Linked DNA regions of Nothobranchius furzeri. The protein of the gene in region 1 purifies or fractionates together with the protein of each later gene. This does not show direct contact. Links are inferred from orthologs where the notes say so. Each region holds a gene or a part of one and is shown in the gene's direction. Other genes may lie near its edges. The genes, in order: blnk and syk.

What was found.
Region 2: the proteins of blnk (region 1) and syk purify together in Homo sapiens (affinity purification with western blotting; 3 studies listed by BioGRID and IntAct, with this or other methods). This does not show direct contact. The link is inferred for Nothobranchius furzeri from reciprocal best matches to the Homo sapiens genes BLNK and SYK.

What each region holds. Positions count from the first base shown.
Region 1 is NC_091752.1:13,566,838-13,583,621, forward strand, and holds the start of blnk (B-cell linker protein), read left to right. Parts: upstream 1-6,847; 5' UTR 6,848-6,947; coding exon 6,948-7,016; intron 7,017-7,128; coding exon 7,129-7,191; intron 7,192-16,784. UniProt on the Homo sapiens protein: Functions as a central linker protein, downstream of the B-cell receptor (BCR), bridging the SYK kinase to a multitude of signaling pathways and regulating biological outcomes of B-cell function and development.
Region 2 is NC_091746.1:36,406,218-36,422,863, reverse strand, and holds the start of syk (tyrosine-protein kinase SYK), read left to right. Parts: upstream 1-9,419; 5' UTR 9,420-9,553; coding exon 9,554-10,078; intron 10,079-10,719; coding exon 10,720-10,880; intron 10,881-16,646. UniProt on the Homo sapiens protein: Non-receptor tyrosine kinase which mediates signal transduction downstream of a variety of transmembrane receptors including classical immunoreceptors like the B-cell receptor (BCR).

The sequences.
Region 1 (16,784 bases):
ACTTTAGCCCACAGCTGCAGGCTCTTCCTGGTCCAGAATTTTCCATGGTGTTGTAAAACCTCCCATGCTGTAAGATGCCAAAGTCCTGATCACTTCACACACCCCTTTGCATCTGTCCTGCTGTCCAGTTTGTCTCGCACTCACCGTCTCATTATGTCCAGAGTCAAGTCTGGTCCATCTGCTCTACGGCTTTAATTAGCTTCCTGCCTAAAGCAGGAGTCATTGTGGGCATTTCCCAGGAGGGCCCACCTTTCATACTCCACACTGGCACACATACAGGTGTGGTGTGTGCCAGCTATTGATGATTAGCAGCATTTACCCGGGGAGTGTTGCTGCATATGCAGTGGTCAGGAAAGCAGCCCAGAGACAGATTTAAAGACCGGTTTTGTAAGCTTGTCTGTGCTTTAATTTACAAACATGATTACAAGAAGAGTCACTCTGCAGAGCAAAACTACATAACTGAATAAAGAAAAGGTTTTAATGAGTGCTGCTTGTAGAAACGGCACCTGCTTCAGGAGCCCATACGGACATGACTAAATGACTACGGGCCGTCTCATTAAGAGAGCCTCATTATCGTCCTCGCCACAATAAGAGCACCTTGTTTTCTTCTGACAGATATTATTACACAGCTCTCATTAGTGCCAAGTGGCCAGGGTTAGCGGGTGTCAAAGGGCAGACACCACTAATTGGTGGACTATTTACCCTCCAATCAGTCAGCAGTATATGAGGTTGCTGGCCTCCATCCAATTAGAAGCCAGTAAAAATCTACCTCTTATCTCTGAGATAAATGCTTCCTGCATCAGGCGCTTAAATTCTCCCAGTTTATCAGCACGTTTGTTTAGTCAGAGGATGGCATCTGAGTTCCCTGAGATAAGAGCTTGGAAGAGGAGAACCACAGTTCCTTTATTACGGTGGAGGGGGACATTTGAAAAAAAGAAAATCAGAATTTCGAGATAAAAGTTGAAATAATGTTTTCAGGTATTTTGAGCAATAGCTAAAGAAGTGAATCCCCTAAACTCGACCGTTGCGTGATTCGAGGGCTCTGGGTGTTTGTCTCCAGAATAAAACACAAAACAAGAGTTCATTTGCAAAAACAAATGCATGTATTTTTATACGTTTTTTAAAAATGCATCTTTTCATTATTTACATCAGGTGATATCAGTCCAAAAACATTTAGGCTTTTATTTGTTGGTGCAAATAAACTCCCATTAAAGACCACGCCTGAATTAGCATGCACACAGGAAGTCCTTCACAATAAGAGTCTGAGACGTGCACACAGACATCAATACATCAGATGTTTAGAAAACCGCTGTTTTCTGCATCAACATTTGCCATCTGATTGGTTGGTTGTTGTGGGATCAAGGAGGTAGAGCGGGTCTTCCAGGAACCAAAAGGGTGCAGGATTGATCTGCTGTTGTGTCCTTGAGCAAGACACTTAACTCCTCCTGCCTGCTGGTGGTAGTCGGAGGGACCGGGTCATTTACAGGTGTATGGTTGCCATGGTAACCCTAACAAGACACTGAGAGCAAAAGTAGTTCTTTTTTATGTCATCCACAGTTATCAACTACAACAACCAGATCTTCATAGAGGGAAGTTCAAGTTGCTTGATCCACTTTAAGTTCTGGTCTTCTGCAAGATTCTCTTTGTGGGTGTTGGACTGTGTTGAGAATGTAATCCTCTGATGGCTCATTGCTTCACTGTGATTAAATAGAAACACTTTTATAGGACAAAACTAAAATATCGGTTGTTCAAAATATAAATGCCAGTTTTCTTCTACTGCCTGTAAATGTTTCAGAAATTATTAGCTTCAGTGGACATTTTAGGAAAGATAAGCATTCTGTGTGTGTGTGTGTGTGTGTGTGTGTGTGTGTGTGTGTGTGTGTGTGTGTGTGTGTGTGTGTGTGTGTGTGTGTGTGTGTGTGTACAAGTGATAATGTTGCAGGATTTCATAATCGTATCTTCTCAGCAGCAGCACTGCAGGTGCTCTCCATGTCCAACATGTGCGTAAGCCAGGTCCTTAGTCAACTTAAAGTTGCACACATTTTTCTGCCAAGTTTTCTTTTGTAAATCCCAAAGTTTGCGTGGAAAGTTGCTTACGCAGTTTTCCGACCCCGTTTTGTGCGTAAGCAAGCTTGATAAATGAGACCCCAGGTCTTTTGTTTTGCATCATCATTATTTTAGCCTGGTGAAGAAACACGGAGCTACAAAATGGACCTCTGTTTCTTCATGACCAATAAACTTCCCAACACTTTGGTTGCTAATAAAAACCACAACTTTGGCACAGACCTCAGTACAAAATGGAACAAAAGCTTTGCAGAAGAGAGATCTGAAGATGAAGAACTCTACAACCTCTAGTTGGCTTAAAGTTTAAACCTCTAGAAAATAGATTCTCACTGCTGGCAAGAATCAAACATTTAAAAGCCAAACATGGATCGGATGAAGAGAAATACCATGGGTCACCCTCAGCATGCATGTGCATGCTGGACGTTCGCAGGTTCTCCAGAGCTTTTTCCCCACAGAGAACGAGGATTCATTCATTCATACTAGAGACCACAGCAGGTTTAAAGAAATGAGTGAATGAGAGATTTAAGATGGAATCATTCAAAGACCATAGATTTGTTTCAGATGAAACACCTACACCTGTGCTTCTGTTAGATTCTCACATCATCAGCCTAAACTCTGATGAACGTAAAGAAAAAGTTTGCAGAATCAGAGCTGCGGTTCCAAGTAGTTTTTGGATCATTTGGACCATCATCATCATCATCATCATCATCATCATCATCTTTATAGAGACCCTTACAGGAATGAGGAAAACTGATAAAATTGTGTAAAAGATCAACATCTAACCCAGAGAGTTAAAAGCCAACCCATAAAAGTGGGTCTTCAGGTCCTGCTACGGAGAACGCCCTGTCCCCTCTCGTCTTTAGCCGAGCTCTAGGAGCCACCAGCAGGGACACAAGGCTGCACCAACTCCATCAGATGAGCTGGAGCCAGTCCATTCAAAGCCTTAAAACCATTAAAAGGAGCTAAAACCCAATGCTGAAGTCCACAGGCAGCCAGAACAGGTGTGATGTGATCAAACTTTCTTTTGCCACCTAAGAATCTTGCTGCACAAGCTGCAGAGGAGCTACTGTACTCTGACCTACCCCATGTTACAGTAGTCCAGGTGTGAGGTTATAAAAGCATGAACAACCGTCTCACCATCCTGTCTAGACTTTAGCCACCCATCTCAGGTGCTGAAAACACCACAGTACCAACATGGACATCAGGGCATTGTCCATCTTCACTCCCAGGTTGACCAAATACCTGTTTGACATTTTTGGGTGAATATTTTATTAAATGTACTGTAGACAATATATTAGTAAGATGCCTTCAAAGGTTTTCAAGAACAATCTAAAGAAAAGAGTTTACTGTGTGAGGTTAGGAGCACACAGACAGCGCTGATCGATCCTCAACCTCAGCTCCACCGAACCGTTCGTTTACTTTGTTTTGTTTTCTTCCTGTTTTTAGTAAAGAGAAGTTCTGATTTAGCATTTTAAAAACAGGCCAAAGTACTTTCTTTCCCCAAAGATTCATGTCCGAAAACCATTTCTAGACCTAAATGTCAGTTTTAAAATAAATCCTGATTATGGTCACATTTAAAAAATAAACGCTTTCTGGTTAAAAATAGCTTTTATTTTACTTAATTTCATTAGATTTAATCTTGTAGCTTCAAGAATAAATATGCAGTTAAACAGGAAGAAGCAGCATCAAGGGGCTGTGATGGTCATGGATGAATCTACAAGAGAGGCCATGGTGGTCCTCACTCGGCCCAGGCCAGTCGGGCAACACTCCACCACCCTTGGTCATCCCCAGTAAACCTCACCAGAAGGCATCCTGGCCAGATGCCTGAACCACCTCAACTGGCTCCTCTCAATGTGGAGGAGCAGCAGGTCTACTCCAAGCCCCTCCCGGATGACCAAGCTTCTCACCCTATCTCAAAGGGAGAGCCCAGCCACCCTGCGGAGAAAACTCATTTCAGCCACTTGCATCTGTGATCTCGTTCTTTCGGTCACAACCAAAAGCTCATGACCATAGGTGAGGGTAGGAGCGTAGATCAGCCGGTAAATCTAGAGCTTTTCCTTCCGACTCAGCTCTCTCTTCACCACGACAGACCGGTACAACGCCCACATCACTGCAGATGCAGCACCAGTCCACCTGTCGATCTCACGCTCCATCACTCACTCGTGAACAAGACCCTGAGATACTTAAACTCCTCCACTTGGGGCAGGACCTCATCCCTGACCTGGAGAAGGCATTCTACCCTTTTCTGACTCAAGTCCATGGTGTCAGATTTAGAGGAGCTGATTCTCATCCCAGCTGCTTCACACTCTGCTGCGAACCGCTCCAGTAAAAGCTGAAGATCACGTTCTGATGAAGCCAACAGGACCACATTCAATTCAATTCAATTCAATTCAAAAATACTTTATTAATCCTAGAGGGAAATTGATTGCTGTAGTAGCTCAGAATAATAATCAAGTCATCAAAGAGTTATTGTATATTACAATGGCTGTTGGCAGGAAGGATCTCCAGTAGCGGTCAGTGTTGCAGCGAAACTGAAGAAGCCTCTGACTGAAGACACTCTTCTGTTGTCGGACAGTCTTGTGAAGAGAATGCTCAGGGTTGTCCATAATTTTCTTGAATCTCTGGAGAATCCTTCTTTGCATTATCTCCTCCAGTGGTTCCACAGTCGTCCCCAGAAGTAAGTAAGTAAGTAAAGTTTATTTATAGAGCGCCTTTCACAGATATAAATCACAAAGCACTGTACAACATGAGTAAAATCAGGGCAAATACCTCAAACCAATAAATACATCATAAAAACAAAAGCAGTGACAACAATAGTAACCAAAATCAGGCGTAAAAACAAAGTCAAGGTGTGAACAAGAACAAGGCCATCTTTTAGAATATTTAGCAGGGGAAAGCCTGGATGAAAAGGTGAGTTTTAAGATGTTTTTTGAAGACCTCTACAGATTTCAAGAGACGGAGATTTGAAGGTAGACTGTTCCAAAGTCTGGGGGCAATAGACTGAAAGGCCCTGTCCCCTTTGGTTTTTAGTCTGGTTCGACGAACAGCCAGGAGGTTTTCAGATGTGGATCGGAGGTTCCGTGAAGAGGTGTGTGGGGATAAAAGCTCAGATAGGTAGCTTGGAGCCTGGTTGTTAACAGAACAGAACCAGCCTTTTTTATTAGGCTGTTGAGCCTTTTCAGGTCCCTGCTTCTGATGCTACTACCCCAACAGACGATGGCTGACGAGATTACACTCTCAACAACAGACTTGTAGAAGATCTGCAGCATCTTGCTACAGACATTGAAGGACCTAAGCGTCCTCAAGAAGTGCAGTCTGCTGTGTCCCTTCTTGTAAACAGCTTCACTGTTCTTTCTCCAGTCCAGTCTGTTGTCCAGGTGAACTCCAAGGTATTTGTATTCCTCAACTACCTCCACTTCTTCTCCCATGATGGAAACGGTGTTTGACTCCACCCTGTTTCTTCTGAAGTCTAAAATCATCTCTTTTGTTCACGTTCAAGGTCAGATGATTGTTTCCACACCATGCCACAAAGCGCTCCACCAGCTCTCTGTACTCAGCTTCCTGTCCATCTCTGATACACCCGACAACTGCAGAGTCATCTGAGTATTTCTGTAGATGACAGGTCTCTGATTTGTACTGGAAGTCTGAGGTGTACAGGGTGAAAAGGAATGGTGAGAGTACAGTCCCCTGTGGTGCTCCAATGTTACTGATCGTCTGGTTTGATGTGCAATTCTTCAGCCTCACAACGTGTGGCGATAGTTGAGGCCCCCATCTGCAAAAAGCAGAGACCTGATCCTCAGGCCACCAAAACAGATCCCCTCAATACCTTGGCTGCACCTAGAAATCCTGTCCATAAAGGTTATGAACAGAATGAAGGACAGCCTTGACAGAGTCCAACTCTCACTGGGACTGAGCTCGATTTACTGCCTGCAATGTGGACCAAGCGCTGACACCGATCATACAGGAACCCAACAGCCTGTATCAGAGGGCCCATACTCCTGCAGTACCCCCCACAGGGCCTCCCACAGGGTCTCCCACAGGGCCCACAGGGCCTCCAACAGGGCCCCCCGAGGGTCAATGTGGGATGCCTTCTCCAAATCCACAAAACACATGTAGATTGGTGATGTGCATCCATTTGAGGGCACGCTTTTTCATTAATTGTAATCATCATAAGGGTCTATAAGAATGTTTGCACATTCAACAGGCATGTGAAGCCCAATGTATTTCAGAAGGAACAAGTGTTGCTATAGAAACCAAACCTGTGCTGTGATCATGTAAAAGCAATCAAGTCAGGCATGTAAAGTCCAAACTCCTGTGACCAGTTTAAACGCTGAATCAAGTTTCTTCCAGCAAGTCTACTTGAGTTTGAGAGTTACGGGAGGTGGGTGTGATTTTTCTCACCTGGTTTAACAAAATTTCTTAGTTTTGTCTGCTGCATGACGCAGAAATACCGTTCAAGCGTGTTGTGACTCATATGTTGAACATTTCTTTAAGCTGTGGGTCTGAAAGAGACAAATGCTGACAGAATGAGGAATTAATTGGAGTAAAGGTGCAATAATATTGGTGCCTTGGCAGTCCTACAGGTTTACAGTAAAGGAAGCGTGCATGAAGGCAGGGCTGAAGAGCAGTTCCACTATTATGACACCTTCGGGTTCTTGAGGTTTTCACAGATTAGGAAGTTCCTGCTTCCCCTTTGCTAACGCTGCAACATAACCTGGGATGGGGTGGGGGGGGTGTTACAACACAGTGTATGTAAAGAGCCAGTGAGGGAATGGTTGTTCCTGTAATGAGGTGACCTCCCTGTGTGTGCTGATGCAGAGCTCAGTCTCTTACTCCAACTTCCTGCTGAACACTGCTGCTCCAACGTTCCCATAGACACAGACATGAACCTGCCGACCAGACAGGAATGTGAGGGGTGGGACCAGACACAAGTAGCCGTTTTTATGAGCAAGGTGAGTTAAATTAGAAGAAAAAATGGACCATTTTCTCATTATTTAACGATTAAGTAGTCGATGTTGTGACTAAAAGCACGATGGAATTGAAGGTTATGTTTGTAATCCTCAGAATAAAATGCAAGAATGTGCTGCAACTGTGATCAGATTAAAGATAAATGGACACAGACTCATGGTGAGTTTCTCCAGGTTCTAATTTAAGTTCTTGTTTCTGTCTGCTCAGTCATGTCGTTTGAGCTCCGGATTACAGACAAACTAGCAAATCCTGCAGAAAAGGTTACGACTGGGTTATAAAACAGCTGGTCCAACAAATTAACTGAGGAACTCATTTGTATTCATTTATGATTTTTTCATGTTTTCATTCGGGCGACAGTGGCACAGGACTGAAGTTCTCGCTCCGTAATCAGAAGGTTGCAGATTCGAGCCCCGTTCAGTTTGTCCCTGTTGTTGTGTCCTTGGGCAAGGCACTCAACCCACCTTGCCTGCTGCTGGTGGTCGGAGGGACCAGTGGCGCCTGTGTTCAGCAGCCTCGCCTCTGTCAATGTGCCCCAGGGCAGCTGTGGCTACATCGTAGCTCATCCTCACCAGGGTGTGAATGGGTGAATGACTGTGTTGTAAAGTGCCTTGGGGGGTTCCAGGACTCTAGAAGGCGTTATATCAAATACAGGCTGTTTACTTTCTTGTTTTCCCTTGTTACCTGTTGAAACTGAGTTGTTTCATTAATCAGTCGGATATTTATGACGGTAAGCGTGATTCTGCATAACCAAAGGACAAAAGCAGGATATGAAACATGACACGTTGGAACACAACAGCATGCACTACTTCCCTCCTAAAGTGGAAGTTAGTATAAGCCTTCGTACTTCTGCTTCGAGTTCCTTCTTGTTGCTTTTTCTCCTCGCTGTGTGGGAGCTGCAAGGCTCTGATTTCTGTCAGACACAAAGTTTCTGTCTGGCTTTGTGACCAAACTCAGGCCCTCGAGCCAAATCTAGCCCGTGGTGTATTTATAAATGGCCATGAGATCAAATATGAATTAGAACTGGCCAGCTGATGCATTTGTCACAAATCCTACAAATCCCATAGTGCTTTGCAGCATTAGCATATCAGTCAAAGGGCCCCCTCCTTTCTGTTTAGAGTCATTAGCATCCATGCTAGCAGTGTCGGCGTCTGCAGCAGAACCCTCGTCACTCTGGGGCAAACTGAAGATACTCCGAGTTTACCCGGCCATTAGCCCACTCTGAAGAACCAGAAAAGGAGATTTCTACAGCTCAGTAATCTTTTCACGATTAATGTGAAGAGGGCACCGACCAACCTCCAGACAGAGCTGATTGAGCTCCAGTTTAGGGACACACTCAACACAGGAGTCGTCTCACCAATGAACACCTTCCTCAGCTCGGAGCCTAACGCCACCAATGCAGGCCTGGCTTAAACCAGTGAGCTTCAGACTATATCAGACTGGAGCAAACCAAGTGTGAATTATTGTGGTTTCATGCACTTTTTCTACTCAATGGATGAAAGTTAATAACTGAAATATGGCATTTTCATTGTATGGGAACTATTTATTAAAAATGATTTTACCTTCAGTTAAACAGGAACTGGAAAGGCTACATGTAGAAGAATAGAATAGAAAATCCCCTTATTGTCCCTCAGTGGGAAAGTTACAGCAGCGATGACATTCATTACAAGAGCAAATCAGGAGAATAAAAAATAAGAGCAAAGATAGAACAGAAATACTTAAAAGATTCTTAACACTCAAAGGTTAAAACAGAATCGAAGAAGCTGAATATGCACACACTTAAGGAATAAAAAGATAAATAAAACATTGAGACACAACTAACTAATACCACGGAAGTGTATTTTAATTAAATGTAATTGTTCGTGTGCAATCTGGTTCAGTGTTTGTTTCCTAACCCTAACCAAATGAACAATACTTATCTGGAGCGAAGGGGAAATGTGCATCTTTTCAGTCATTTAGACACAAATCTTGTCCCAGTGTTTCATTTTGGCCTGGTGGGAATCTGAGGCCTAGTCCACACGTAGCCGGGTTTTTAAAAAAATGAGTATCCGCCCCTCCAAAAACTTGCATCCACACCACCTCGCTTTTAAAAAAAACTCTGTCCACACGTACCCGGATAAATACGTTGTTAAGGACATGCCAGACCTGTAGGCGGCAGTACTTCCCCCGTTCTTAACCTCGTCCTTCGTCTGTGGTCTTCGCAAGGAGCAGTAATTCCGCTTGCAAAAACAAACAAAAAGCGCTCGGACAAGTGATAAAGCGAGCGCAGCTCTGAGGGCATCCATGCTGTCGGCTAGTGTAAACACAGGTCGCACACGTGATGTCAGCATTTTTTTGTGGCGGAAAGTGACGTTGCGGACCTTAAAACTCCGGTTTCGTCCGTCCACACGCAGCCACCCAAAACAGAGAAAACACAGATCTTCACTTTGGCCGGAGTTTTTAAAAAGATCCATTTTCGTGTGAAAAAACTCCGTTTTCGTGTGGATGACAGGCCAAAACGTAGAAAAATATCTACGTTTTGGCAGATCCCCGGCTACGTGTGGACAGGGCCTGAGTTTGAGCTCTGCTGCGTCAACATGTGGCTTATATCAAGTGATCATCACTACGGTGTGAATGGGTGGATGACTGTGTTATAAAGCACCTTGGGGGGTTTGTGACAGAACACATGGTATGCGTAGAGTCCATAAAATTAATGTAATATAAGTTGAAAATCCATCATTTTTAGGGTCCTCCTTTCATGTGTTGGTTGAGGGCTTTTGCGGGAACCATCACACTTTTGGGGGAAACCGGTCCCCCTTAGCACCTGCATTATTCGAACCCTGTCAGTAAGTCTTGTTGGCACGTGATCAACCATAATAAAAAAGATGATCTGATAAAATGAGAAGTGAGCTAGCAGTGTCTTCGCTTTGGCTACAGAATGGAAGACACTCAAGTGGTATAGTTGGCATTAGGGATGTGTATTGGTGAAATTCTGGTGACATGAAGTATCATGATAAATTATTACATTTGCGATTTTTAGACTGAATTATTGTAGGAAAATTCAATAATCAGTCCAAACTGGTACGTAACATGTTGAACATTAAGAATCTGAACCATAACAGAGGGAATCACATTTCAGTGGTGGAAACAAAACCCTTTGAACACTGCTGCTAACTAGTGGTTGGTGTTTGAACTGCATCACAAGAAAAGAAAATACACAAATGCTTCTTGTAAATTCTTCCAAAAAGTCCAATACTCGGCTTTTGAATATTAATATAACATCACAGGAAAAACTATTGCGATATTTTGCCTTATTGATATTTCCTTATATCCCTAGTTGGCATAACAGATAAAAGAAACAAATATAAGATGAGAACAGAGGTAAAATAAAAATATATACATGCGAAAAAATATTTATCAGTTTGATTCTGTAAAAGCATCATAAACTGGTCCCAGTCATTGAACTCCATTGTGTTTGACTCGGCCCATTGTTCTCTATTCCATGAAAGATCCCATAAGACACGAATGCTTGGTGTCTGCACACAGGATGTGCTCATGACCCTGTAATGTGTTTGCCTGGGGGGGTTAGGACCTGCATTTCTGCACGTTCATCATCTTCGTGGTCATGAAGTACCAGGACCCTAGAGAGTAGGGACAGGAAACTCATTCAATGAATAAAGATGCAGATGTTTTAACCCTTTGATGCATGAATTATGAAATCTTCAACCATGATTTTTAAGCATTTTTTTCCATTCATCTTTAGGTGTGAATGAAACAAATTTCAACAAATATTTTTTGTAACATTTTGTTAATTTACAAATAATTTATTACACGTCCATCTCAGTGGACAGCGTGCATTCTGAACATGAAATATGTTGGCTTGACTTGCTGAAGCCCAAATGGAGGGGCTCACATGCATTAAAGTCTTCAACAGCTGTGCTTAATAGCAAAAATAAATAAATAACAATTTTGTGTATCTGTCCACTGTAGTGACCATTATGCATCAAAGGGTTAAAGCAAATACAAGCTAAATGTGATGAAAACACTAAATCCTAATTTGTTTGAGCTGAGGTGAAATTTTAAAAACAGAAACAATATTTATTCCTAATCATCGAGAGAGAGAGAGAGAGAGAGAGAGAGAGAGAGAGAGAGAGAGAGAGAGAGAGAGAAAGAGAGAGAGAGAGAGAGAGAGAGAGAGAGAGAGAAAGAGAGAGAGAGAGAGAGAGAGAGAGAGAGAGAGAGAGAGAGAGAGAGAGAGAGAGTTGCTGTTGCAACTTACAGGAAGTGTCATTTCACTGGCAGAAGAAATTTCCAGTTAGTTGTCTAAAATAAAAGAAGAACTCTAAAATTACAAAAAGCAAAGCAAAGAGCAAAGCACGTCTGAGTGGAATGATGAACCAAAGAGCAAAGAAAACAAAGACTACAGAAGTTGAAATGAAGCACGTTCAGTTCAGAGGCTTCATTTGTTTGTGGGACATGTTTGAGGTGTGGCGTGAAAGCGTGCGTAAGTCGGACTCACTGTCCACCGTTAAATCTAGACTCACCTGGTTCAGACTGCCTAGAAAACCTTTTTCAGCTGCACTGCATCAACCTTTTACCGGGTTAATGAAAAGTCACTCAGACCCCACCAACCTCTGTAGCCAGAATATCACTCTTGCATCTTCAGAGTTGCTGGCTCCTGTTGGACCTACTGTAGTTGAGCTGATATTCCAGCATTGCATTCTGATTCCAGCATGTTTCCTGCATGATTTACATCATAAACACAGCAGATTTTTTTGCTTTAAATTAGAAATGTCATTCAAAGTTTAAATGGGTCACATGACACGAGGAGCCAGTTGAGGTGGCTCGGGTATCTGGTCAGGATACCTCCTGGATGCCTCCCTGGTGAGGTTTTCCGGGCACGTCCAACCAGGAGGAGGCCTAGAAGGAAGACCCAGGACATGCTGGAGGGACTACGGTATGTCTCTCGGCTGGCCAGGGAACGCCTTAGGATTTTTTCATGTTCCAAGTGGCCTCCCAGCTTAGGCTGCTGCCCCTGCGACCCGACCCCTAATGGGCAGAAGAAAATGGATGGATGACATGAGGCTTTAGTATATTAAAGCCTCATGTTCATATCTTTTATAGTTTTTGAGAAATCCCAGTTTAAGTTTTGGGTACACTTTCCATGCAGTGTTGGGAAAGTTTAAAAAAAAATTTCTATTCAAATTCAAACATACTTAATAAATCTCAGAGGGAAATTAGAGTTTCAGTACATACAATTCTGAGATCAGACATACATACATAGACACATGACAAGAATTGGTGACTGTGGTCATTCGCAACCCGAGTCGCGCTACCTTAATAGAACAAGAAGGTTTATATGAGGATAGAGTTAGGGGGAGGGGAAAAAGGCACTTCAGAGTTACCCTCCACAGAGAGGGCAGCTTTGCTATGCAAAAAAACCCACCTCAGACAGATATGCACACAGACTTCAGACATACACAACATAAGTGTCCACTAGGTGGGGAGGTAGGGTTGGGACTCTCCTCACTTCAGTGCGTGCAGCCGCATGGGGCAGCGCTCATCACCTCCGTTTGGACAGGGGAGGGAGATAATGGGTTAGAGAGCACATTGACGCCTAGATATGGTTCCACGGCCTTCACCGGTCACAGTCCCACCCAGGCTGGGATAGGGAGAAAGAGTTTCCATAGCGACGGCAGCATTCCACATTTCTTCGGGGGGGGGGGGGGGGGGGGGGGGGGGTATCACTTCATCCTCACAGGCTCCAAGGGCACCAGATTCAGATAAAAATTGTTTTGGGGACAGACAGAGATACTTTCCTCTCTGCCTTAAGCTGGGGGGACACTGTGCGACTTTTTCACTCGTAGCACTCAGCTTCAGCTCAAACTGTATGACTTCCTCGCACGGCAGATCTCACGAGTCATGTGCTCACACTGTACGACCCAGTTCTCGGATGCGACCTGACTGCTTACACTGTACGTCTGGTGGCAACACGTCGGACCTAAAAATGTGCTGAAAATAGCCGTTTTTACACAACACGTTTTTGTTTTGCCTGTGGTCAGTGTTAATTATGACAGGGAATTGTAATTTTATTTGAGTCTTTTGGCTAAAAATTAATTTTAGTCTTAGTCCAATTTTAGTCATTAGATTTATTTTAGTTTTAGTCCCATTTTAGTCGATGAAAATAACAAGTAATTTTAGTCGATAAAAATAAGCAATTTTAGTCAACAAAATGCATATATTTTTTCGAATGAAGTAATTTCCTACTTTTGTATAGAGCACGGAAAAACTAGTGTAATTTAATACACAGGGTCCAAACTCTTAACCACCACTGATCAGATATAGCACACAGCTAAGAACATAGAATATTTGAATTTAAAAAACCACTTCACATGTTTAACACTTACGTGTTTAATAAAAAACAAAAAGCACACTGGAAATTACAAAGGTGCTCTTTTTAGCAATTGCACAACAAGAATTTACAAGAACAGCAAATTTAAACATGTTAACCCTGAGTCTATAGATATTCACTTGTTACAACACAGGCTCAACCAAACAGTGTGAATATTTATTTGGTGCGATTCATTTTGAGAAAAGCACTTTGTGCTAGTGTGACCTTTGCTCGGTTGCGTTTCCCACAGTAGGATTGAGAAAGCAAGCAGCTGCTACAAGTGGGGAAAACTTGTCATCTGAGGGATCAAGTACCCAGGCAAAACGCTGGTTCACATTCCCTTCCATTTTACGTGCTAGAGCAGCAACATCTCGACTTGTGTTTTGTTCCACATCTGCCAGATGGTTGAGTAAATCAAAGAGAGCAGAGAGTATTAATGACATAGACATTGTGTCACTCTGAAGAGTTTGTGTGTGTTCAGCAAAAGGCTGCAAAAATTCTTGCATTGACTTCAGCTTCTGCCACTCACTTGAGAGCAAGCAGTCCCATCCCATCTTGTCTGCTACTTCACAAACAGATTCTTTAACTTTGAGGAGACGTGCAACCATTTCATAAGTACTTGACCAGCGTGTGGGGCAGTCATTCACAACAGTTAGGCCGCACTCATCCAAAATCTTCTGTGTTGCCACTGATGACTTGCGAAAAAGTTTCACGATTAATTGTACTGTGTTCAAGACTCTGTTGATGCTTTCCTCCTTGTTTATCATGTGGACAACAAGCTGCAGCGCATGGATGACACATGGCATCCTGTACATGCCTAGGTCTTGACACTGCAGGTTTTCTGTCTCCTTGGAATCACTTTCACTTAGGATGGATGCATCTGGATCATCGGAGCTGGAATCTTCATCTTCTGGAGCACTATGCTTGAATGCTGCCACCATATTGCTACCATTGTCTGTTATTACGGTGAGAACTTTCTCATTTAGGATCCCCCATTCTTGCATGCACTTTCCCACACAAGCCTTAATGGACTGGGCAGTGTGTGGATGGTCAAGTTGTTCAAGAGCTAGCAGTAAGTGTTCTGGTTTTTGTTGTTCAACACAGAAAAAGCAGCAACTTATGCCAAGGAATGATGCTGTCAGTCCCTTTTTAGTCCACAGATCAGTCCCAATACATACTTTTCTGGCACTAGACAGTCTTTTCTTAAATGTAGCTTTTTTGTTTTCATAGTGTTTTTCAATTAGATTACTTATCTTGGTTTTCTTTGGCACAGTAAACTTCTTATCCAAACTTTCCATCATCAGAATAAAATCCTCATCTTCTACTGTTGTGACCGGCAATCCTGTACATCCAATCCATGTAGCGATAGCCTCTTCTTTAATTTGTTGTTCTTTGGCATCACTCTTGTACTTTGTAGTACTTGTAAATGCGTCCTCAATGTTCTGGTTGGACATTTTTGCCTTTTTGGTAGCTGGTTGGCCACCATCAGCAATGGTTTTCTGCAACTGCAAAAAAATAAAAATACACAATTAAAACATTGACTTTCTAACAATGATTTACCTGTTGCTTTTTGAGATTTCATACATTTTATATATATATGTATATATATATATATATGTATATATATATATATATATATATATATATATATATATATATATATATATATATATATATATATATATATATATATATGTACATATATATATATTTTATATTTATATATACATATCGTTATGAAATGAACCGGTAAAACATCTGTGCGAGCTCGGGACTCGGATCATATTAGTGCAAACCAGACATTGTGAAAATTATAAACAGCCAACAGCATGCTTCACTTTACAGGTATAGTCCTGGTTTAGAGCGCACGTACAGCGAGCGGCTGCGACCCAAAAAGTACCAGAACCGCTCATGGCGCATGCGCAATCATGCATCAACACTGCTCACCCGGTATTTCCCTAATAACCCACGTCGTGAAAATACGGTACTTCCGAATTTTTATCCCAAGAGTTGATACAGTTTTATTTGCCTGTATATTACTTTTCGGGTCGTCACGTGTACAACATTTAAGTGGATTTACCTTGGAGAAAATGGCAAAGTGGCCATTCTGTAGATGCCTCTTCAGATTCATTGTGTTCTTTCCTCGGAACGACAGTCCACACTCTCGGCATGTAGTTTTTGTAGCAATGTTATCATAAGAAAAATGACTCCACACATCTTCTCTTCTTTTTCGCCCAGCAGTTAACATTTTCCTCTACTCCTTCTTCTTATGCCGTCGATATATTCAGTGAGCTATGTTTAGCATACCGCCACGCATACCTGCCCCTATATACTATTCGGGATCCGTCTTCGCTCACGTCCCGCACGTTCACGGCACGCCACGCCCCTTGTCTTCTACTACGTTCGTGTCTCACAACAACACAATAGTCGCACCGCACCATAGAGCGCCATGTAGAAGAGCGTCATCGTGGATTTTCGTCTCGTCTTTCATTCGTTGACTAAAAGTTTCAATAGATTTAATTATCGTCTTCGTCTTTTTCCAAGGTTTAATTTTGAAATTTTGTTTCATTTTCGTCTGTAAATATATTTTCGTGATGAAAAAAAAGACGAAAATATTTTGTCAACAAAATTAACACTGCCTGTTGTCCTTCGGGAGTGCTGCAGGGGGACACACAGGGATTGATGGGGGTTGGATGAGGAAAACGAAATAAAGAAACTGAATCTGTGTTTTGTGATCAGTTTAATTTAACATGAACACGACAAACACGCTTTCTTGACAATCTTTGTGAGTAAAAAAACGTGTAGAAATAAAAACGAACAACATGTGTTATTAGAGAAATAGCGGGCGAGCAGCGTTGATGCATGATTGCGCATGCGCTGTGAGCAGTTCTGATACTTTTTGGGTCGCAGCTGCTCGCAGCGCCACTTCAAAAGTGCGATACCTTCACGAGGGACGAGCAAAATTTCAAACACGCCAGAAGTTTGTGCGAGCTCACGATTGCTGATCCGTAGCTGGTCACGTGGTGTTAATCGCCTCTCGTAACCCCCTGTATACTACACGACGCTCAGCGCAAAACTCGCCCTGATCTTGTCGATTCTCGCACGAGTGGAAAATCGGCTCAAAAAAGTGAAAAAGTCGCACAGTGTACGCCCGGCTTTAGAGTTCTGTTGGTCTACAACCCCTCTAGATCCAATAATGGCGTAATTAATCTATCCCAATCCGTGCTGATCCGTCAACTAAAACGAACTAGTTCAAAGTTCAGTTCATACATTTGAAAACAAACTCGTTCATTTTCCATTCAAAAAGTTTTTATCTAAGTTCACTGTTCCAAAAACGAACTAGTTCATAGTTCTTTGTTCCATATTTATACACACATATACACCT
Region 2 (16,646 bases), on another chromosome or scaffold:
ACCAGAACCGCTGCGCTACCAGGAAGGCAGTCCTGGTTACCCCAGGATGGCAGGCCAGGCGTGATGAATGCCCCCATTTCAACACCGCCGGGCGAAAACCTGGGGGAACAAACAAACAGTGCGGGGGGCATCCAGACGGAATGGTAGTGGGGTCTCGGACTGCAGCATTAATCCTGCGCTCCAAGGACCAACGAGAGACCCCAAGGACCAAGTTGGGCGGCACGATGAACGTGGACTCCGACTCCACAGCCTCACCCTCCTGCTGGTACTGGCGGGACAGGGCATCAGGTTTAATGTTCTTACTGCCCGGACGGAAGGAGAGGTTGAAGTTAAACCTGTCAAAAAACAGAGCCCACTGTGCTTGGCGGGGGTTAAGGCGCTTGGCAGTCCGTACATACTCCAAGTTCTTATGGTCGGTCCACACCAAAAACGGCTGCTCAGCACCCTCCAACCAGTGGCGCCATTCTTCGAGTGCTAGCTTAACAGCTAGCAACTCTCTGTTCCCTATGTCGTAATTTCTCTCTGCAGGAGTGAGCTTGCAGGAGAAATATGCGCAGGGATGTACTTTATTATCAGACGCTCTCTGTGACAGCACAGCACCCACCCCTGACTCAGACGCATCAACCTCCACAATGAATTGCTTGGAGGTGTCAGGCTGGGTCAGGATAGGGGCCGCAGAGAACCGTCTTTTGAGCTCGGCAAAGGCCATGTCGGCAGCAGTGTCCCAGACAAAACGTACCTTAGCCGAGGTGAGTCTGTGGAGGGGTGCAGCCACGCCACTGAAACCTCTGATGAAGCGCCTGTAGAAGTTGGCGAACCCCAGGAAGCGTTGAAGCTGCTTCCGACCAGTAGGTGTAGGCCACTCGAGAACCGCTTTGACCTTGTCACAGTCCATCTGTACCTCTCCAGGCGTGATCACATGCCCCAAGAACTTAGTCTTGGTGGTGTGAAACTCACACTTTTCAGCCTTACAGAAGAGCTGGTTCTCAAGTAGGCGCTGCAGAACGGCCCTGACGTGCTGCACATGTGTTTTACGGTCTGGGGAGAAAATTAAAATGTCATCCAGATAGACGTACACAAATCTGTTAATCATGTCCTTCAACACATCATTAATAAAACACTGAAACACAGCTGGTGCGTTTGTCAGTCCAAAAGGCATCACCAGGTATTCAAAATGGCCGCACGGGGTGTTGAAAGCAGTTTTCCACTCATCCCCCTCCCGTATGCGCACCAGATGATAAGCGTTCCGTAGATCCAGCTTAGTGAACACCCGAGCCCCTCTAATCTGGTCAAAGGCAGACTGCAAGAGAGGCAGGGGGTAAGTGTTACGAACCGTGACGCTATTCAGACCCCTGTAGTCAATACACGGCCGTAAACCCCCATCCTTCTTGCCCACAAAGAAAAACCCTGCCCCCGCAGGTGATGAGGATGGCCGAATAATGCCTGCCTGTAAGCCCTCCTGAATGTATTCCTCCATGGCTGTTGTCTCAGGGATGGACAGAGGATAGAGACGGCCTTTAGGAGGTTGAGCACCAGGAAGGAGGTCCACAGCACAGTCGTAAGGACGGTGAGGGGGCAGGTTCTTAGCACGAACCTTACTGAACACTGCAGCCAAGTCTGTATATTCGGGGGGAACATTACTGATGTCAGGTGGTTCCAAGGGAGGCTGGCTAGAAACAGGGCGAACAGGAGCAGCAGACAAACAGTTCAATAAACAAAAAGGACTCCACGTCAACACGCGGCCAGAAACCCAGTCAATATGGGGACAGTGTTTGCTTAGCCAGGGGTAACCCAGGATCACAGGAGGCACTAAAGAGTCAACCACAAAAAAACACATCCGCTCTGTGTGGTTCCCAGAGACCGTCACAGTGACAGGAACAGTGCGTGCAGTCACCTTGTGGATAAGGGAACCATTTACGGCATGGATGGACAATGCAGGAAACACCTCCTCGACTGGAATCAAAAGTTCGCTTACCACTGCCTGGGACATCAGATCCCCATCAGAGCCGGAGTCAATAAGGGTGTCATATTCACCGTGTCTCGTCCCATATGTCAACCGCACACTGGTGGGTGGTCGTGAGGGCGGAGAAAAGGATGACACCCGACCCGCTAGCTGCATGGGCTCCGAGGGCGGGGCGTCACTGCCCAGGTGAGAAACACTCACAGAAATCGGGTGAGGACGAGGTGAAGAAGTCAGTGGGCGGAGTTCATCATGAAGGCGCTCCATCCTCCGCCGATCGATGCGTACAGCCAGATCGATAAGATCCTCCAGCTCCTCAGGAACCTCCCTCGCGGCTAGCTCGTCCTTGAGCTCGCTGGAGAGCCCCTGAAGGAAGACGTCGACCAGTGCATCATCAGGCCAGCGGGAGCTTGCCGCCAGCGTCCGGAACTGTACTGCATAGGACGCTACGCTGTCATCTCCTTGTTTGAGCCGGAGCAGCTCAGAAGCAGCCGCGCGGTGCGGTGTTGAGGGATCAAACACCACGAGGAGTTGAGTGGAAAAGGCCCGGAAGGAACGAACCACCTCCGCTCCACGATCCCACTCAGCCAGTCCCCACCTCTTGGCTCTGCCCGTCAGGAAACTCAAGGCAAAAGCCACCTTGCTCTGCTCCGAGGGGAATTCGCTTGGATTAAAGTCAAAATGGAGCCGGCAGGAGGTGAGGAATGGTCGACAATCCTCTGCGGTACCAGAAAAAGTTTCAGGACGACCCAAACGAACCTGTCGAGGGGGAGCAGGCGCTTGCTCCAGTCTGGCTACACAGGGACGAAATTTTGATTTCAGAAGTGGGGGGGGGGACACAGCAGGCTTGTGCGGATTTGGGGTGGGGGGTGTTATGTAAAGACCCCTTGACACGTCACGTGCCCATCTCAATAATTTTTCCATCCTCTCTCTCTCTCTCTCTCTCTCTCTCTCTCTCTCTCTCTCTCTATATATATATATATATATATATATATATATATATATATATATATATATATATATATATATATATCAAAGTTAAAAAATGTACAACTCTATTATTATTTTTATTTATTATCATTATTGAAGTGCAGTTTTGGCTGTTGACAATGGATAGGCCATTGTATTTATTGTTTTTGGGTCTTTTTTATTGTTTTTGGTGCAACATTTTCTAACAGGGAGTGAGATTCCTTTTTTATTCAATTTTTGTTTGTTATTTTTATTCATTTAGAAGTTCTGGTTCTGGACATTTCAATGTTAAATGAAGGTTTATTTGTTGCATTTTAAAGGGTGTACTTGCATTATTATGATATATTAACATTATATTAGTGGTTATTTTGGTCTAGATAATGTTGACAATATCGTTTATCATCAACAATTTGTTGGACAAAATATCGTCCAGCAAAATTTGTTTCTTTCCCAGGCCTAGTCAAAAGTATAAAAATTATTTATACATAAACGGTCTCTCCTGAGATCTGGCCGTTTGTTCATTTGCTGTGTTAGAGGACATGCTGAACTAATGTTTTACACATGATCATCACCCTAACATTTGAGTGTATAAAAACATATTAAATATGTTTTTTCCCTTAAAAGTGTTTAAACAGTTGTTGCATTTCAACACACAAAAAATAAATGGAAAAAATAAGATAAATCTAATGAAAAGTGTACATCTTTGACATTAAGCTTAAAAAAATCTGTTGACGATGATGATACTGTTCATTTTTCAGAGCTTTTTAATGTGAAAATATACATTGCAATAGATAAGTTTACAATAAAGTTAAATGATAAAAGTTTTGAAGTTACACTTCTACTACTACTACTACTACTAGTAATAATAATTATGATGATAATAGTAATAATAAAAAATAATTATTATAATAATACGAACAAATTGTGTCTGAGGAGTCAGTTATGTGGAGGAGATGAGTTTGTAAAAGTTAGTTTTGAGTATGTTTGTGAAGGAGGAGGTGAGTCTGAGCTTAATGCAGGGGTGTCACATGTCCAACTTACGTTTTGACTTTGAAAGAAGTCTCTTATATCCACTTTTCGTTTTCTTGACATGCTGCCTCCTGGCTGTGCCTAACTACCAAAGACTCACAAATGAACACTTATTCAAATGTTATGTAGCGTCTAGTTGACGATGTGACTCAGTACCGGTGTTCCCTAGCGGCTCCAAACTAGCAAAACAACGTGAGCACGTTCTGACTGTTTACAACTTGAGTGACAGCAGCAACAGCCAATAATACGTTAGCAAGTATCAGCAGAGCCAATAGATTAGCTTTTGGGCGGGTCTAATAGTAAACCGGTTTCCGTTTCGGTCCTAGTGCTCAACCAAATCCATTTAATGGAGCGTAACATTGATTTTGGACGGAAAAAAGTGCAGGGGACCAAAACTGCCTTTTGAAAAAGTGGGGGGGACATGTCCCACCCGTCCCCCCCCCAAAATTACGTCTCAGTGGCTACACGTCCATGCAACTGCTGCAACCCTGACATGCAGCTGCGGAGCTCCTGGGTCAGAACAGGAAGGCTGGCTTCTCCTGCAGCACTCTCACCAGAGGCAGGTAAGGAAGGGTCTTGTCTCTGGGTTCTTCCTGCTGGGTCAGACATCTTGGTGGAGTTGTAATGTCACGGTTTGCCTCTGCAGTAACCCATTTGCAGGAATAAAGATCCTTTATCCAGAGTTCAAAAAAGATTTAATAAACAAAACCTCCTCCACTGACTGTGGGAACCAAAAACCAAAACCAAACTCAATCCATACAAGTACAACTCAGCAAAGACAACTCCACACTGATGACTGGCAGCAGTGGCCTGAAATAGGGTAAGGGCAATCAAGATGATGTGGTTCAGCTGCAGCACTCCAGGAGGTTCACAGGGAAGGGGAGGATTCCTGAGAGGAGCTGCAGCTGACCTGAACAAAAAACAACAGAGAAAAAGTTAAACACAAACACAAAAAGGGGTGAATCATAACACTTCGTGTGCGCAGAATTATGCTTAGCATTAGTCCGATGCTGAAGGCTTCTGAACACGGACAGCTCTCACTCACACCACAGGTTTTCAATAATATTCAGGTCTGGGGACTGAGATGGCCATTCCAGAATGTTCTACTTGTTCCTCTGCATGAATGCCTTAGTAGATGTTGAGCAGCATTTAGGGTCATTGTCTTGTTGAAAGATCCAGCCCCGGTGCAGCTTCAGCTTTGTCACGGATTCCTGGACATTGTCTCCAGGATCTGCTGAAATTGAGTAGAATCCGTGTGTCCTTAAACTTTAACTAGATTCCCAGTCCCTGCACTGGCCACAAAGCCCCACAGCATGATGGGACCACCACCATGTTTTACTGTAGGTAGCAGTGTTTTTCATGGATAAGCACCATCATACATTGGTGGTCCTCTCAGTGTCTACACCCCTAGCAGGTCCCTGAGGTCCAGTGACCAAAGCGTAATGGTTTACAATGGTTGATTTATTAAAAATTAATATTCCGAATTAATTCGTAGTATGGTTCCTCTTTCATAAAAGAGCCTAAAACCACAACGCTACAGTTGTGCAGTGCACCAGGCACTGCACAACCATTCTTTAAGTCACAACTGAGGAACTCCTCAAGGTGCTTTACAACACAATCAGTCATTCACCCATTCACACACACATTCACAACCTGGTGGTGATGAGCTACTTTGTAGCCACAGCTGCTCTGGGGCACACTGACAGAGGCATGTCTTCTGTACACAGGCGCCACCGGTCCCTTCGAACACCACCAGCAGGCAAGGTGGGTTAAGTGTCTTGCCCAAGGACACAACAACAATGACAGACTGTGCGGGGCTCAAACCTACAACCCTGCGATTATGGGGCGAGCACTTAACTAATTTGCCATCATCGCCTACATAGAAAAGGTGACAGATCATTTGCTGCTGTGGCCCCCAGACTCTGGAACTCTCTCCCCATGAGCCTGAGATCAGTGGACTCAGTGGTCTCCTTTAAAAAGCAGCTGAAAACTCAACTGTTTAAGCTGGCTTTTGTTTGACCTTCATCACCATCTCCTTATTCAGCTCTTTCTAACTACTCTGCCTTTCTTGGGGTCCACTGATTTCCATCCATCCATTTTCTTTTCAGTAATTAAAGAGCAAGTCACCCCCTACAAGAAACTTACTTCACTCCCACTTCAGGTTTGAAAAATGCAACAAATGCTGTTGCCTGGCAGACCGAGAGGGTGAAGCCGCTAACAAATAAACACACACAGGCTCACAATGGCATTGTGACATCATAATGTACCAGCTAACATCATAGCATGCCTCTTAGCCAATAGCGGTGGCAGATTTAAATTCAAATACAGTGCAGAATTTTTGCCCGACGACGGTGCATCGCTGACAGTTTTAGGCAGAATATTTAAAGGGGCAATATGGAAGTTTGACAGCCAAAATATGTGTAGAAATAATAAATTTCTTCTTCATACATTATCCTGCAATGCCCTGGTCCCGTAGAATGAGCCCTGGCATTTTTACTGTGATTGCTTGTTTTTCTGTAAAATCACAGAAAAAGAGAGCTGCTCGGGTCGAGCAGGCTGCTTCATGCGCGTTCACGCTCAGACAAAGCCCTCCGAGTCATTCTTTGAATGTTGTTTCAGCTGTGATCAAGGATATAAATGTTACAGATAGAAAGAATGTCACTGGCACTCTAGCTCGCCTAGTAAGATGTCGGACTTACGTGCAGAGGATCTGGGTTCGATTCTGGATCAAGCCCCCACAATGCGGGTGAAAAACTGAAGCAATCCTGGAAGTGAAATAAATTGCAGTTGCACCCTCATCCGCTGGGGGCTGGTGTCAGAAGCGAGCAAATCCTCATTGACTCCCATGTTAAAAATACCAATTTTCACAGCAGAAATAAACATGTTTACAGCCTGGTACCAAAACATGTTTTTGGTTTAAATTATCTAGTTTACACTCATGACAACTCTGAGGGGGGTGGATTTTTTTCTCACTCTTCTGTTTAAGTGTATTAAAAGCCTAAAATTCTGTATAATTAATGAGCATCAGACCTACGTGACCGCAGAGCTAGCTCTGGGGAAAGGCCTCAGTCTGATTGGACAAAATTACTTGCTATGGCATTAATTGCACTAATAGAGCGTCCAAGGAGTCTCCACTTCATTTTTTTCAGTAAGTAAAGTTATATTTATGTATTTTAGGTCACTGCCGCTCTTGCACTAGCTGAGATTAGATTTTAACATGTACTGTTTAACCATGAAATTTAAATGTAATAGGGTAAAACCCAGTGCATTTAACATAATGCTGCACTTTAGAAAATGGGTTGAAATAGAACATGTTGGTGGAGCTGGGTTCCGACTATCGGCTTGTGGAGCTCTCGGGAGACCGATGTTTTCCACCCGTTTCTCCCCTCCCCGCAGCTCGGCGCATCTCTGTCTGATCGCCGCTTCTGTCTGCTGCGCGGCTGCCGGCTTTCAGCAGCTTTCGGGAGACCTCTGTGTTCTACCCGGTTTTACCCAGCGGTCAGCCCGGTGTATCTCTGACTCAGAAGCTCTGGTGTTGTGCACAGTTAACTCCGGTTGTAGCTAGGTTGCTACCTCCGTTAGCTTAGCTCCCACCTCCGCGTTAGCTTTGGGTTAGCTTCAGGTTAGCTTGTATCTAGTTTGACCGGGTGTCGTCAGTTGATCCCAGCCTTACAGCCCCACCCTCAGCTCCACCTCTCTTCCCTTTTGTGGAATTGTCTGGGCTTGACGGAACCTGTGACACGGTCAAAATGGCGGTGGTGGCCACTCCCATTTTAGCACAAAAACTTATTATTGGAGTGTATGGTAACCCATTGTCCAATATTTATATGTCGATGGTTCTGTATCATGGGAGTGTGTGTCTGTGTCCAGATGAGAGGAGCTGGAACTCATGGTGTTGTGGATGAGAGCTGTCACATGGATCCAGCCTCTGTACTTGTCTTCAAAACAATGTGACAGGGCTCAGCTGCTGCTCTTCTTGTCTTACTAGACCACTGCTGCCCTTGCTTATGACAGAATGAGATTTACCCTTTTAAAGACAGTCTCACAGTTTGCCTCGAATGTCAGTTTGCGGTCAATAACTGCCATTTGTCCTGTACATCACCGGCAGTGTGTGAGTGTGAAAGTGCATGAATAATGGTGAGCACTTTGACTGCCTAGAACAACGCCATGTAAATCAAATCCATTACTATAATAATAATAATAATAATAATAATAATAATAATATTATTAGGTATTTGTACTCAACTCTTTCCACTTTGGACCTTTAATGGTTGTTAATTCTTATGGATGTTAATCAGGCTCATGATGGAGGTGTTAATAGAGATAAACCTCCTTAAACAGTTTGGTTTTGATGGGTTTGCAGACATGTTGATGGTTTAGATGAAGCTTTGTCATCTGATAAAGATCAATAGGACAGAAACATAAACCAGGTTCTTCTGTTGCTTCTAAATCTGTCTAACTTGTTAATGATGAGTAATAACAGTGGAGGATGATGGGAATTTAGTGTCTACTTGAGGTTATTTTAATTATGAAGGATTTTATGACATCATCCCTCCTGATGGCTGTAGGGATACGTGGCTCAACAGAGGCAGGACCCTCCACCAGTCTGGCTATAGAAAAGAAAAGAAAAAAACCCGAGTTGTTCTTGTTCTTCTCTATTACGTATTAATGAATTATACTCAGCTCCAGCTCAGCAGAGAAAGTTCTCGTTAATAACAAGCTGTCTCTCTAGCTTAAATAAAATTCTTTATGGAACGCTATTTTCTCTGTAACTTTCTTTAAGTCTGTTTTGAAATGTACAGCAATGAATTAAACCAGGGCGCCTCCTGCGCCTTGTGATTTTATCTTGAGAGACGCTATAAAAAAATCTTTTCTTCTTCCTCTGACCGATCACCAACAGAATCAGAGCCTGTAATGTTAGTCTGGAACCTCCGCTGCAACAAGATAATAGATTTTTGAAAAGGTCAAATTCCAGTTGATGTCCTCTATTGGTTCTCACTCATCTCCCTTGTCTCTGGTGGATGGATCTATATCTCTGGTATCCTGCACCTTCTACACTGTAACTGCTCACACCCTTTAAATTAGTATTTTTTCTGATTCTTAAATCTGAAATTAATTTGTGCATTTTAAAGGTGTGGTTTCCTTTTTTAATGATTATTTCAATAACTCTGAGATTTTCATGCAGGCTGAACATGAAAATAATCTAATTTAGTGATGACAAGATGAAGACCCAAAGGAAGGGTGAATCAGAAACTCACCTGATATCAAAAAACAACCCTAGTTAACGTGTGTTTTCATCCAACACTTCTAACCCTGGATTAGAACTAATGGATGAGGTGAAATGTCTTAAAGTAGTGGCTTTTTAAACGATCCCTTCTCTAGGATCACAGATATGGTTAGGCTACTTAGTGCCAATCTGTTTTCAGACATGTTTGTAGTTCTTTGCATGAATCTCAGCTCAGTTTGTAGAAGACCAGTTAGTAACTATTTCCTTCTTCATGTCTCCTTTTTAGGCATAAGAAGTGGAAACAACATTGGACAGTTAATTGTCCACCGTCTTCTGTGATTTTCCAGTTTTGAGGCTCTGGATTATTTATGAAAATTAAAAGTCATTCACAAGTATTTTATTTTTCTTATTTTCTTTTCAGATTAATTTTATGCTGGAGGCTGAAATTTGTGACAAGGCTGCTTGGAGGCCATCAGCACCTAAAAAACAACATGGCGGACACCATGAATGCGTTGCCGTTCTTCTACGGCAACATCACAAGGGAAGAGGCGGAGGTCTACCTGCGGCAGTCAGGCTTGACCAGTGGCTTGTATCTGTTACGACAAAGCCGAAACTATCTAGGCGGCTTTGCGCTCTCTGTTTCATTCTCAGGCCGCATCTATCACTACACCATTGAACGACAACCCAATGAGACGTTTGCGATTGCCGGTGGTAAGAGCCACAGAACCCCCATGGATGTGATTGACTACCATTCCCAGGAGATGGATGGTCTTGTGTGTCTGCTGAAGAAGCCCTGCAACAGGCCCAAGAACATGCAGCCAAAGGTGGGGCCGTTCGAGGACTTGAAAGACAAACTCATCCGGCAGTATGTAAAGCAGACCTGGAACCTGCAGGTTAGTTTCTCTAGCATTTACATCCTTCAGGACTGATCGACTATAAACTAGTCTGATGTTGTATCTGGTCTTAGAGAGAACAAGACTAACGTGTTGCTTTGGTCCTAAAACAGCTCAGAGCTCTTAAATCTCTTAAATTTCACCTTGGTTGATGTGATGTTATTCAATAAACTCACCACGAGTCTTACTCTACATTAAATTATGTAGTTATTCAAGAGCCTAATTATCCACAGCAGCAGGTAAGTGTACTTCTGGTTCATCCAGGTATTGAGTCCAGCAGGAATTCATCTTTCTGCTGAAACCTGAGATTTTAGACATTGATGCTTTAAACCTTAGCAACACAATTTGGAACATTCAGGCTGTATCAGTGAGCTAAGGTGTGTGTATGTGTGGACTCAGTTGGGTGTTACTACGTCACTATGGCCCAGCAGCCTCCCCTCAGTCAATGCACACCCGGGGCAGCTGTGGCTACGTTGTAGCTCATCACCACTAGGGTGTGAATGACTGATTGTGTTGTGAAGCACCTTGGCCCTATGTCAAAAACAGGCTATATACAACTATTTTAACTCAACTACAAAACGCATATTGAATATCATATTAGTATTTATATTAGAGAATGATTAGTATATTTGTTCTTGCAGGGAGCAGCTCTTGAGCAGGCCATCATCAGCCAGAGACCTCAGCTTGAGAAACTCATAGCCACCACTGCTCATGAACGAATGCCCTGGTTCCACGGAGCAATAACCCGGGAGGAATCTGAGCCACGGCTCCAGTGCGGCTCCCGCACAAATGGAAAGTTCCTGTAAGTATCTGACCATGTTCACAATAAATGTTCCTAATACTAAATATTAGAGATGTTAGATATTGACTTTTTTACTGATATCCAACATACCAAATTAAATAGTCCAACTTAATAACAGATACCAATCTAAACCAACACCAATGCATGCAGGGTCGCCCTCTTGTTAAAAAACAAACCATGAACATGAATGACTTTTGTGAATGTGTTGTAACGTGGAAGAAAACAGTCTTGGGTAACATCATTCCACATCTCCTATCATGCATACTTAAACTTTAAACATTATCTTTTCAATTGAAGTGCAGCCACTTGTGCCAAACAAACAATAATATTGCTAAACCTCTACCTGGATCTATCATATTGACACTGAGAGGAAAGTAGCTGAAAGGTTTGGTGTGTCATATGTGCATGCTAGAGAGCCTTACTTTATTTTACTTTATATTAGGGCTGCACAGTACATCACAAACGTATTGTCATCGAGATATCGGCTTGCTCAATACACAAATCGCAAAGAACAGGCAAATACACTATGAATGGTCAGCTCAAACGTTTGCTACACACAATGCAAATAGAGTCCTTCACTCATTTGGCCAATCAGGTGGGTTATTTTAGGTTAGATGCAGATATGGGGTGTTTCTCAATGTCAAGAAACCTTGCCTTGATGTCTTGGTCCCGCCCCGGTTGCCTAGGATATACATCATCAGGAGCCGCCAAGGCGTGTTCCAATCGGTTCCAATGTTCATGTTCTACCGAGGCGTGTGTTCTCCGTTTGTTAGCCGCTTAACTAGCAGAGCAAGGATACACGGGAGGTGTCTTGTAGCCTAGCCTTGGTCAAAAATTACCCACAATACACCGCAGTATTTTCAAAAAGACAGCGGATCAGAAGCCGGCAGCTACTTCGGGGACAATTTTTTAGATCCAAAGAAGTTATCTATTGTTGGTTAGTTGCTTAGTAGTTGCAGCTTCGTTGGCTAGCGGGTAGTAACTCACTTTTATTTTTTATTTAATAAACATATACACAATTTAAAAAGTAAAAGGCTTGTTATATATTTATACTGAAACAAATACATATATCTCCCGTGTCATGTGACGTTACGTGACTGCCGTAAAAGCCGCAGTCACGTGATGCAAGTCTGTTCCATTTAACCGTTTTCTTTAAATGATAAATGATAAATGACCTGCACTTGTATAGCGCCTCTCAGAGTAAGGACTCCAAAGCGCTTTACACTATAGTGTATCATTCATCCATTCACACACACATTCACACACTGATGGGGATGAGCTACGATGTAGCCACAGCTGCCCTGGGGCTCACTGACAGAGGCGAGGCTGCCGAGCACAGGCGCCACCGGACCCTCCGACCACCACGAGCAGGCAAGGTGGGTTAAGTGTCTTGCCCGATCACTGGACAATCCGCTCAACCTGTTGAGCTACTGCTGCCCCTTCCTTTGACCGAGAAAGGACAGTGTCCTCGCAAGCAAGGCGCCTGGCCTCGCAAGACATCGCCTCACAAGGCAAGGCGCCTTGACATTGAGAAACACCCATAGATTTGCAGTTTGAGGCAGATGACATTTAATTTAGATGGCTAGCTAACACCTAAGTTAGCTTTGTTCTGCTCTTTCTGCCAATTCTGATTTTCCAGGGATCCACTGATTGGCTTTTTTCATTTTCTTTTCCCCTTTCCTGACGTGTTTTGATCAAAATTTCCCATTTTTATATCTTTAAACTCTTTCATTTTTTTTGTTATTGACGGTCATTGCAAAAGTAATCACTGACACACACATATATATATGTATATACACACACACACACACACACACACACACACACACACACACACACACACACACACACACACACACACACACACACACATAAAATAATTCTGTGCCTTTTTGGCTCAACTTCTTCACACAGACCTGTTCAGGCACATTTCTCCTCCATGCTGCTGGACGACAGAAATCCTGAAACTTCCATGATAAACTTGTTGATTTTAAAATAAACACATAAAATACTATTAAGTGAGAAAAACTACAACTTTTAACTCAAACAGAGAAAATATGTCTGTATGTGGTTAAAATCACGTATTTGAATGTGAAACGGTTAAACCACTGGATTTAAACATTTGCTTTTTAAACTAAGCATCCTGGGAGAATTTATAGCAGTTGAAGTCGAGCAGCAGTGGTCTCAGCTGAATAATCACACACACACACACACACACACACACACACACACACACACACACACACACACACACGCACGCACGCACACACGCACACACACACACACACACACACACACACACACACACACACACACACACACACACACACACACACACGTGCGTGCTGTGGTTTCCGCTCTGACAGTTTGCAAAAGGACTTCCTGAAGTAGCCAAATAAGACAGAGCACAGCAGCCTGGCAGAAGGTCCCTTCTTACAGTCAGAGATGCTGTCTTTCCACACCAAGCTTCCACGATAATACATTCAATTTAACTTCAACATTTGAGATTTGAGGAGATCATCTGACCTACACTATTAGAGCTTCATATTTTATAAAATAATTTTTTATATAGTTTTTAGTGTAGAAAGCTACTCTTATGATGGGTCCTAGCAAAGACAGACAGGTCCTTTTATGAGTTTGCATTAGTTCCTCTAACTCTGGTCTTCTCTGTTGCTAGGCTGTCTCGGCTGGCTCTTTTTTACTTCCTGAACTATAAAAATAGTTTTATCAAGTCACAGCTCCTCAGCTTAAAGATCGCCTTGTAGCAGGTGGAGTTAGCCACCGGTAAAACATTTTTCAAATCAGCAGAAATGTGTTTAGAATCAACACCAAATTTTTCTGTGTGGTTTGAAGATGAGATGAAAGTCTGCTTTGCAGAGGTTTTACAGATCCGAATGTTTCCAAGCTGATCTGAAGAAAACAAATAAAATAAACAGCAAAAAGCACAATAAAATGAAAGAAGTGGATAGATTTAGCAGAGCAGAGAATATGAAGCTGAATATGTAGAAAAAAATAAACAGAAAAAAGAAATTTATCTTACAAATGAGTGAACTAAAGGAGTTTTCTGTGAGAACCCCTTTGTCTTGAGACAGATTTACAGAACAGGAACAAACTTTCTGCCTTTTCTTGGATGTTAAACTCAGAGTATCATTTTATAAACATCTTAGGATGCCCCACTAGTTCCGGATGTTCTGTGCTGTTGCACAAGTTTAGTTTTTATTCTAATTATTTTATCGGTACTGATCACAGATTTGAACGGATCTAACTCTTTTGCAGATGATTGTGGTTTTAATCAAGTTTTATGGATAAAAAAAGCTAATATTAAAAAATGTGTTTCATAGATAGAGATAGAGAGATAGATAGATAGATAGATGATGATAGATAGATAGATAGATAGATAGATAGATAGATAGATAGATAGATAGATAGATAGATAATCTTTACTGACAGACTCTTAGGTCCAGATAAAGAAAAATATAAAACAACAAAACATTAAAAACAATAATGAAACAAAATTGGTAAAAACAAATAGAACAAATAAAAATGATAAAAGCATGAAAATAAAATAAAAATATAAATTATTTTAAAACTTACTATAGAGATGTTCTACACAATTAAGAGTAACCACACAAACACTTCAACCAGTGTTTCCTTATACAGGACAAATAGCGACAACTGCTCACAGCAGGATGAGTGATTGCTAAATTATACTGTTGGCAGAGCTATCCAGTCGTTCTCTAAAAGTGAATGTTAGTTTTCTTAAACGAGCTTTAAAAGTACAAATGCCTGCTGTTACAAACATCTGACTGGCACTGCCCCCTCTGGGTATTTTGAGTAAGATTCTTAAGGCATCACTGTATGCAACATGCAGCTTCTTCATGATGATTGTGGGATGACCACAGTTGGGCTGTATAAAGTGGAGTACAATATGCTTTAAATAAAGCCACCTTAACTGACAGTGAACAAAAACTAAACTTACCTATTGGCCTGTGCATAGAGCTTACAGCACTGTCTATGGATTTCAGCATCTCCACGCATTTGATTGTTTTTAAAGTGGCCAAGGTATTTCACCGTCTCACACACATTAAGATCACTATTAGACAGTTTAAACACAGGAAAGTTTAGCCTTTTATCCTACTTGGTTCTACATATCAAGATAGCACTTTTAACAGCATTATACTGGATATCATACTGCACACCGAATTCAGAACAGATATTTAGGAGCTGCTGTAAACCAGCACCACTTGGACTGAAGACCACCAGGTCATCAGCATACATCAGATGGTTAATCAGAGTTTTACCCAGAAGGCATCCTGTGTTACAGGCTCTCAGCTGCATTGGAATCAGTACCGATCATCATCAGTACATCATTGTGATCAGTACCGATAAAATAATTAGAATAAAAACTAAACTTGTGCAACAGCACAGAACATCCGGAACTAGTGAGGCATCCTAAGATGTTTATAAAATGATACTCTGAGTTTAACATCCAAGAAAAGGCAGAAAGGTTGTTCCTGTTCAGTGGTCTACAAGATGGCGCCCATGAGATGTTGTCCGTTTGCTAGGCTCCTGATCTTTTTTGGTTATTTGGTGTTTTTTATTGTTTCTTCTTTATCTGGTGCGGAGTCCCTTACTGTTGTCGATCAGGTCCGTGATGATCAACCTCCAGAACTCCGATACCGGATCCGCTTTCCCACCGCCTCTGGAACCTGGCGTTAACCCAGGTCTCGGCCCTCTGTTACCTGTCGGCCTGCCGCTGCCCAGGAGGCCATGGAAGAGGAAATGGGGGAAGAGAGCCGGCTTCTTCGTTCAGCTTCGAAAGATCATGAGAGGCGAAGCTCTGCCTGATCGCTGCTCCGCGGCTGTGTTGTGGCGGATCCAACAGAAACTTAACGGAGTTGGGCTGATCTCGCTGCTAAATGGAGCCCCTGATGCAGGACGCTACCTGAAGGCGTAGGAGACAAAGAACCTCTGCGGGAGTAGCGTGGAGTCGCTACGTAGCTTAGCCCGCCAGCCGCCCGCCATTATCGAGCCCGCGGCACACACATTGCCAGATTCCTCCGCGAAAATGATGTTGATTAACGCGCGCTCCATCGCCAACAAGTCTCACATCCTCAACGATCTGTTCCGGACCAAAAAATTAAACTTTTTGTGCATTTCTGAGTCGTGGCAGCACAAAAATGGCATCACTCATCTCCGTGAGCTCTGTCCTCAAGACTGCTCTTTCTTTTCTGCTCCACGGACCACAGGCCGCGGTGGAGGAACAGCTGTTATCTTTAAGAAACACTTTTCATGCCAAATTATATCCTCAAACTCCTACAGCTCATTCGAGATGATCATGATTAAAATTGGTCGAGCTCTACCAGTTTATGGAATTCTGGTCTATCGCCCACCTGGATCTACTTCATCCTTCCTGTCTGACTTTCAGGACCTCCTATCTTCAACTATTAAACTAGACAGGATAATCATTGTTGGAAATTTCAACATCCACGCTGAGGATCTATCTAACAGCTCTACCAGGGAGTTTCTAAACATGATGAACTCTTTTAACTTCTCTCAACACGTGTCTGGTCCCACTCACAGAGCAGGCCACGCCCTGGATCTAGTCTTTTCCTACGGACTTCTTGTTGATAAGCTGCAGATAAATGATGTTGTGTTCAGTGACCATAAGTCAGTTTCTTTTCATATCAACCTAAATTCTGAATCTCTTTTACCAGTCTCTGCTAAGCAACGACGTATTATCAACAGTTCTACCATTTTAAATTT